Cricetulus griseus: one gene and its partner. The protein of the gene in region 2 purifies or fractionates together with the protein of the main gene of each other region. This does not show direct contact. Links are inferred from orthologs where the notes say so. Each region holds a gene or a part of one and is shown on either strand. Other genes may lie near its edges. The genes, in order: Stx12 and Vamp5.

Region 1 (3,811 bases), on a different chromosome or scaffold from region 2:
CTTTCTGTATAGGTAGTGTGGTTAACTTCAATGGTCATCGTTACCAAACCTATAATTACTTGAAACTGTTTACATTGGGTTGTCCTATTAGCACATCTACGGGAGACTGCCTTAACTGATTAGTGTAGGAGGACCCAACCCACCGTAGGCAGCATCACTTCCTAGGCAGGAGATCGTGAACTGTGGGAGGGTGGAGAAGCAGAGCTGGGCACACATGTGGAAAAGAACAAGCAAGCACTCATTTCTCTCTCCTTCGACTGCGGATGAGATGTGACCAGTGCCTTCAAGTTCTGCTACCTTGATTTTCCCACAATAGACTGTAACCTGGAATTGTGAACTAAAAAAAAACCAACAAAACAAAACAAACAAAAAACCAAACCTTTTCCTTTAGGTTGCTTTTTGTTGTAGTAGTTTATCACAACAGAACTGAAACTAAAGCACGTGGTAAGGAAATTATAGTTCAAAGAAATCTATCAAGACCAGAGCCCTCCTAGAGCTTTTGTTCCACATCCCACTACTCTATCAGAATAAAGTCCTTTTCTATTAATAAACAAAACAGAAGATACCTACCTGCTCTGATGCAGACAAGGGTAGGGGCAAAGACCCTAATTCCTTTAGCAACTCATTTGTCTCCTTGGCGAGCTGATTTGTGGAGTGCTGTAACTGTTGCCTAAGAGAGAAGACAAGTGTCAGGATGCCATGGCTTCTCGAGAGCTCTCACACTATTACTTCACGCTCGGGGACTCCCAGCGCAAGGAAGGAAGGGAGGGCCATTCAAACAGGCGCTTCAATGCCTGTGCTCACAAACCCTCATTACTGAAGCAGTTCCACTGAGCAGAAAGATGCTCAATGACACCTGCTGAAGGAAGCACAGGCCAGGAATTTCAGCTGTTTGGGAAGAAAAGCATGTCGGCATTCTGATAGAAACACAGGAGTAATTACTACCTACATCCAGTCCTAATGGCTTTAATACACTGAACTCACTTAAACGTCTCACCACTCCCCAGGAGCTCTGCATGGTCAGTTCCTACCATAGTCCACTGACTAGGGTGGTTACATGAAACAGCTTCCTATATACCTAGAAAAAAAACTCCAAAGATCTATTCCTAATCTCTTGTCCAAAAGTGGGTTCTTTCTGGGGCTGGAGAGATGGCTCAGAGATTTAAAGCACTGACTGCTCTTCCAGAGGTCCTGAGTTCAATTCCCAGAAACCACATAGTGGTTCACAACCATCTGTTACGAGATATGGTGCCCTCTTCTGGCCAACAGGCAGACATGCAGGCAGAAGATTGTATACATAATAAATAAATCTTTAAAAAAAAAAAAAGTGAGCCGGGCATTGGTGGTGCACGCTTTTAATCCCAGCACTCGGGAGGCAGAGGCAGGCAGATCTCTGTGAGTTCGAGGCCAGCCTGGTTTCCAGAGCGAGTGCCAGGATAGGCTCCAAAGCTACACAGAGAAACCCTGTCTCAAAAAACCAAAATAAATAAATAAATAAAGTGGATTTTATGCCTGATAGCTTTTCCCTCTGCTGTTTAGAACACTTACCTCTTGTGCCAGATACTGGGCTCAATATCTAACACCAAAAAAAAAAAAAAAAAAAAATCACAATAAAAAAATACACATAAAGAAGCTCGATGCTGGGTACAGTGGCCTTCACCACTAGTCCCAGCTCCTCTGAGGCTGGTATAGGAGCAGCATTTGAATCCAGCAGTTTGCAACATACTAGGATAGAAGGAAGGAAGGAGAGAGAAGCAAATTCAAGAGGGAAGAACATAAAATATAAGTCATGCTATGGAGCCAGGCGGTGGTGGTGCACGTCTTTGATAACCAGCAATTGGGAAACAGAGGCAGGCAGATCTTTGTGAGTTCGAGGCCAGCCTGGTCTACAGAGCAAGTTGCAGGACAGGCTCCAAAATTACAGAGAAACCCTAAGAAAAAAAAAAAGTGATACTTTAGAAATAATAAATAAATAAAAAGTTCTTCCCATCATGGTTTCCTCTAATCTCTGGCCATTTCTACAAAGATTTTAAGGGGTGACAGAGAAGTCATAGGCTATGGTCTGAATTCATGTTGAAATACTAGCCCCCAAGTGATGTTATTAGGAGGTAGTAGAAAGTGATTAGCATGTGTGGGCCTTTTGTGAAAGCATTAATTCCCCTTACGAGGCACCAGAGAACTAACTACTTACCTCTTCCACCAAGAGAGGATACAATAAGAAAGCATCAACTAGCTGGGCCTTGGTGGCGCTCACTTTAATCCCAGCACTCAGGAGGCAGAGGCAGGAGGATCTCTGTGAGTTCAAGGCCAGCCTGGTCTACAGAGTTCCAGGCCAGGCTCCAAAGCCACAGAGAAACCCTGTCTCAAAACCAGTCTCCCCTCCCCCCAAAAGAAAGCATCAGCTGCCTAGCATAAGGACATACTCATTTAATCCCAGCACTAAGGTAACTGAGGCAGATGGATCTGCAGGATAGTAAGACCATTCCAAAAGGAAAACAAAAACCAAATGTTATCTATGAAAAAGAGGGCCCTCATTAGACACTGTATATGCCAGAGCCTTGATCAACCACCCCTCAGCCTTGAGAACTATAAGAAATAAATTTTGCTTGCTAATGAACTATCTAGTCTATGGTCTATTACTGCAGCAGCCTTAATGGCTGGGATACCACATCGTTTTTTTCACTTTAAGTAGACAGCTAGGATTAGAAAACATGAGAGACAGCAGAGGAAGCCAGACCATCCCAGAAACACTAGCATATGCAGACAGGTCATCTCTCCCTGAATTTGCTCCCTGTGACAGCAGTCACTCTCTCACTTCACAGCGTCTAAGAGTGGAAACGAGTAATGTAGCTCAGTTGACTTTAAAGATAGAGAACCTGATGGTGGCACACACCTTTAATCCCAGCACTAGGGAGAGGCAGGCAGATCTCTGTGAGTTTGAGGACAGCCTGAGACCTTGTCTTGGGAAAAAAATAAATAAACATATGTACATATATACACACACACACATATCAAACTTTAAAAAATTACTTTTGTTTATTATCTGTGTGTGCATTTGTGTGTGTGTATGCTTGTGGGCACAGGGGTGCCATGATGCATGTGAAATATGCTGACATTAGAAATAACTTTCCAGAGTTAGATTTTTCCTTCTACTATATAAGTTACAAAAATCAAACTCAGATCCCTGGCTTGATGGCAAGCACTTTTCTTTACTTGCTGAACCATCCTGCTGGCCCCAGAGAATAAAATTTTTACTTTATTATTTTACGTATATGGGTGATTTGCCTGCATGCATGCCTGTGCACTACATGTGAGCAATGCCCACAGAGGCCAGAAATGAGAGTTGGATACCATGAAAATGAAGCTATAGACAGTTGTGAATCACCATCTCAGTGCTGGGAACTGAACCCATGTCTTCACCACTGAACCATCTCTCCAGTGATCAAGAATAGAACTTTACAAGCAAAAATAAAGTCAAGAAAAATGTGACTGTGCTGGAGAGATGGTTCAGAGGTTAAGAGCACTGACTGCTCTTCCAGAGGTCCTGAGTTCAATTCCCAGCAACCACATGATGGCTCACAACCATCCATTATGAGATCTGGTGTCCTCTTCTGGTGTGCAGATATACATGGAAGCAGAATGTTGTATACGTAATAAATAAGATCTTTAAAAAAAACAAAAACAAAAACAAAAAATCAGTTCTCCCACTGGACCATTTATTCTCTCACTTATGGTCACTTTGCATCCGTGAGAATGAGTCTCTTTTATTTAGAGTTGGAAATCCAACTGGACTAAATTGTCAGGAGTCCTG
Region 2 (4,398 bases):
AGCTAGCTGTGCATGTGGGCATCTGGCTAAATCTTCATAAGAACCCACTCAAGACAATATTATTGTCCCTGTTTTACAGCCCAGAGGTGTTAAGTTGTCCAGAGCCAGTAGGTAACCAATCTGAGGGTAGAATGGTCAGAGACCCAGGGGCCACAAGTCTAAACCCTGTGCTAAACCAGATATGGAGAGAGAGGGGAGTATGAAGCTCCAGCTGATTGGCTGAAGACTGCCAGCCACTTGATGCTGCCAACTCAGCTTGCGACTACACACACCAATTCTGCCAGATGAATGGCTTCAAGAATTATTTTCAGCTAAGCATAGTTGTGGACCTATTTAATTCCAAAACTCAGTAGGCTGAGTTCAAGGCCAGCTGAGTCTACAGAGTGGGATCTTGTCTCAAGAAAAAACAAAAACAAAAAAGAATTATTCTATAGCTGTCCATGGTGTCAGATAATTGTAATCCCAGCACTTGGGAGGTAGAAGCAAGAGCATTGCTGCAACTTCAAGGACAGCTTTGTCTATACAGGCAGTTTAAGGGCTTTATAGCAAAAGAGTTCATTCCAATCAGGCATGGTGGCTCAGCTTTATAAGATGTTGTCTCCCAAAAAACAAACAAGCAAGATAGTAATTTTTAAAAGTATTTATAGTGGGGCTGGAGAGATGGCTTAGTGGTTAAGAGTACTTGCTGTTTTTCCACAGGACCTAGGTTCAGTTCCCAGCTCACAGCCATCTACAATTACAGTATGAGGTGATCTAACACCCTCTTCTGGATTCCATAGGCACTCACGTACATGGTGCACATTCATACATGTGAGCAAACATTCATACACATACAATAAAATCTTTGGTTGCTTTTTTTGTTTTTCGAGACAGGGTTTCTTGTTTCTTTGTAGCTTTGGAGCCTGTCCTGGCACTCATTCTGTAGCCCAGGCTGGCCTCGAACTCACAGAGATCTGCCTGCCTCTGCCTCTGGAGTGCTGGGATTAAAGGTATGCTCCACCACCACCTAGCACAATAAAATCTTTTTAAAAAAACGATATATGGTGCTAGGGAGATGGCTCCATAAATAAAGCTCCCACTGCACTAGCATGAGAACCAGAATTTGAATCCTGAGCACCCACACAAAATCCAAGCAGTTTGTTTGTTATCCTAGTGCTCAAGATGCCAAAAACAGGGGCTCCCAAGGACTAGCTGGTCAGCTAGACTAGACAAGCTGGTGAGCTCCAGGTTCAGCCAGAGACCCTGTCTCCATAAATAAATCCGAGAGCTATTAAATAAGACACTGGACATCAACCTCGGACTTCCATGTGCACCTAAACATGTGTGTGCCCACACATGTGAATAAGCATGCACAGAACACGTGTACACGTGCCAAAAATGATTGCTCACTTTCCATCTTCCCTATCACTGCTTTGTCCTGTGCTAGTGGCACAAAAGAAATGCTGTGTCCTTTTTGTCCCAATGAGTCACAGAGAAGAGAAGGAAGGGGAAAGGGGTGGGAGTAATTAGGTAGTCAGAGGGGTGGATGACGGAAGGGAAAGAGCTGGAGATAGAAAAGGGGACAAGAAGGGAGGAAGAGTTAGCTGATGGAGCTGGAGGAACAATGTATCCCCCAGGCTCGGAACCCCCTTTGACTGGAATGCACCTGTGAGCATCCCAAGGTTCTGTACAGTCAGATAACTAGCCTAGCTCGCCTTCATTTCAGAACTTCTCCCCAGGAGCTGAGGGCCAGCTGGAAGTCCACCCCCTATCTCCTCCCAGCTCTTACCCTGCACTCTCGGAAGTGGGCTCTTAACTCCAGCCCATTCTCAGAGCCTCCCTCAGTTTCCTGGTGTGGCCTCACAGCTTAGGGCTACCTTCCTGTCCCATTTCCCTTTCCTGCCTCTAGTTCCCTAGAGATGAAGCCATCCAGACATTGGCATCTCTAGCCAAGCCACATCCATCCAGCCTTAGAGTACTAAACTTGCTTTCAGTCTGGTCCATCTCCCCAGGAGTCCCAGGGGAGGGGGATCCTGGCATCAGAGGTCTCAGACACCTTTGCCTTAGAAATGGCAGGTCTGCAGCAGGAGTATAGGTGACTCAAGCCAGGATTATGTCATTAGGTAGAGGTTAGGAAAGAGTCAGCCTGTGTCACACTGATAATTTCATGAAACTTTTATAGTAAACAACTTATTTTCTCTTTCCCCGGGGAAAGTGTTTATCTTTCAGCACCCAGCCTAGAGAGGCCTCCACTAGGCATCTACTCAGGTTTCCAACCCTTGGGCCAGCTCTGGCTTCTCTCAGCCCCCGGGGAAGAGCCCGCAGAGGTCATCGCATTACCTGCTACTTCTTAGCAAAGGGTTCTGAGTGCCTGGCAGCAGCAACCATAAACATCTCCTCTAACCTCTCAAGGACCCACTAAGGTAGGTATTGCTGCCCCTACTTTATGGCACGGAAAAGGAAGCTCATGGAGGTTAAGTGACTTGCCCGGGATGGCCGGGAGCTGCTAACTGCCGCACGAGCGTGGGAAGCGCAGCTCGGCTCACTCCGCACCGACGGGGCGCACTCTGATTCTCCTTTCCCGGCTGCCTGCAAAGTTGGGGTCTGGCTCATGCGACCAGCGTGACCCGCACCCCTGGGGTTCGGGCTCCTACATCACACCCCTGCATAATCGCCCTCTGCCCCTGCCCGTCTCACCATCGCCTCCGCAGCCACCGCCACCTCCTGCTTGCCGGCTCCGGCTCCTCTGCCCGGCGTGGCCTCAGTGCCCGCGGCCCTGGAGGAAGCCGCGGGGCGGGGCGGGCCCGCGGGCCAAGGGGGCGGAGGGGGGGCGCCTTCTCAGAGAGGTGCCCGACCCAGACAAACCGAAAGCAGCAACAGGGTCCGTGGGGCGCCTCCTACCGGGCCACCAGCGTCCGATTTCCGATGACACCCCAGCCTGGTAAATTGGGGACCGATGTCTCTTGGATCTGGGACTGCAACAGGAGTTAGCGAGGGAGGCGTCATTCTGTCATACGACAAGCATCTGTGAGTGCTAAGTGCTCCGGATGTCATGAACATGCCAGGATGGGTGCTTGCCACCTTGGTGAGTGCATGCCACCCAAAACTGAAAACACATCAACCACTCCAAAGTTCTGGTTGTTTTCAGACGGAGCAGGCAGTATTCTGAATACATCACATGTCGCCAAGTTGTACACTTAAAAAAGACAAATTGAGGTCTGGCAAGATGGTTCAGTGGATAAAGGCACTTGAAGCCAAATCTATTGCATTATCAGAGTTCCATCCCTGGGACTCACATTGTGGAGAGAACCAACTCCTGCAAGTTGTCTATCTGACCTCCATACACCGGGGTGGGAGGAGGTGGGGGGGCGATTTTTTAAATGCTAAAATTCTGCCGACATTCCTGTGAGCTAAAAGTCTCAGTGGTGTGTGGATGCATGAGCCTCTAAAGTTGCTGGGATGGATCCCAGCCTGAAATAAAAGATGACAACAGCAGCCAGACCAAGTTTTGAACCAGCAAGAGGCAGAGGAAGAAAAAGAGAAGATTTGAGCCAGCCTCCAGAGCAGTACTCAAGCAAAGAATGACTCCCTTTCCCAGAGAATAAAACACAGACAAACTACATGGCAGGCCCTGAAGAGCCTCATAGTGTGAGTTTAGGAGTCAGTCGGAAAACAAACAGGGATTATCCAGCCTGAGAACATACAATTTCCCCTTAGATTCCTGATGCCGGCCATGGGGACTTCTCCCCCGGTCAGAAAGATGGAGATTTTGAAGCAGAGTGATGATGAGGATACTGCAGCTTTTCTTGCATAACTGGGAAAAATTAAAGAGGAGCCAACAAACAGTCCTCTTTCTTAATCTCACTGGCCCATCGCCCAGTGCTTAATCAAAGACTAGAATGTGGGACCGGAGAGCTAGCTGAGTAGTTAAAAGCACTGGCTGCTCCTCCAGAGGACCCAGATTGAATTCTCATCACCCTCATTTCTGCTCACTGCTGTCTATAATTCAGCTCCAGGGGATCTAATGCCTATTCTAGCCTCCAAGGGCACCAATCATGAATGTGGTACATAGTCACATATTCAAGTGATGCATTTCTGCACATAAAAGAAAAAAAATAATTTAAAGAAAAAGTAATTTAAAAAAAATTACTGCCGGGTGTTGGGCCGTTAATCCCAGCACTCGGGAGGCAGAGGCAGGTGGATCTCTGTGAGTTCGAGGCCAGCCTGGTCTCCAGAGCGAGTGCCAGGATAGGCTCCAAAGCTACACAGAGAAACCCTGTCTCGGAAAACCAAAATAAATAAAAATAAATAAATAATTACTTATTTTACATCCTGACCTCAGTTTCCCCTCCTTCCATCCTCCTGGTCCCTCTGCTCCCTTGCCCCTCCCTGTCAATCCAGTCCTCTTCTGTTTCTATT

What was found.
Region 1: the proteins of Vamp5 (region 2) and Stx12 purify together in Homo sapiens (affinity purification with mass spectrometry; 3 studies listed by BioGRID and IntAct, with this or other methods). This does not show direct contact. The link is inferred for Cricetulus griseus from reciprocal best matches to the Homo sapiens genes VAMP5 and STX12.

What each region holds. Positions count from the first base shown.
Region 1 is NC_048595.1:20,401,410-20,405,220, reverse strand, and holds part of Stx12 (syntaxin-12), read right to left. Parts: intron 671-3,811; coding exon 571-670; intron 1-570. UniProt on the Homo sapiens protein: SNARE promoting fusion of transport vesicles with target membranes. Together with SNARE STX6, promotes movement of vesicles from endosomes to the cell membrane, and may therefore function in the endocytic recycling pathway.
Region 2 is NC_048601.1:64,109,916-64,114,313, forward strand, and holds the start of Vamp5 (vesicle-associated membrane protein 5), read right to left. Parts: upstream 2,823-4,398; 5' UTR 2,680-2,822; coding exon 2,677-2,679; intron 1-2,676. UniProt on the Homo sapiens protein: May participate in trafficking events that are associated with myogenesis, such as myoblast fusion and/or GLUT4 trafficking.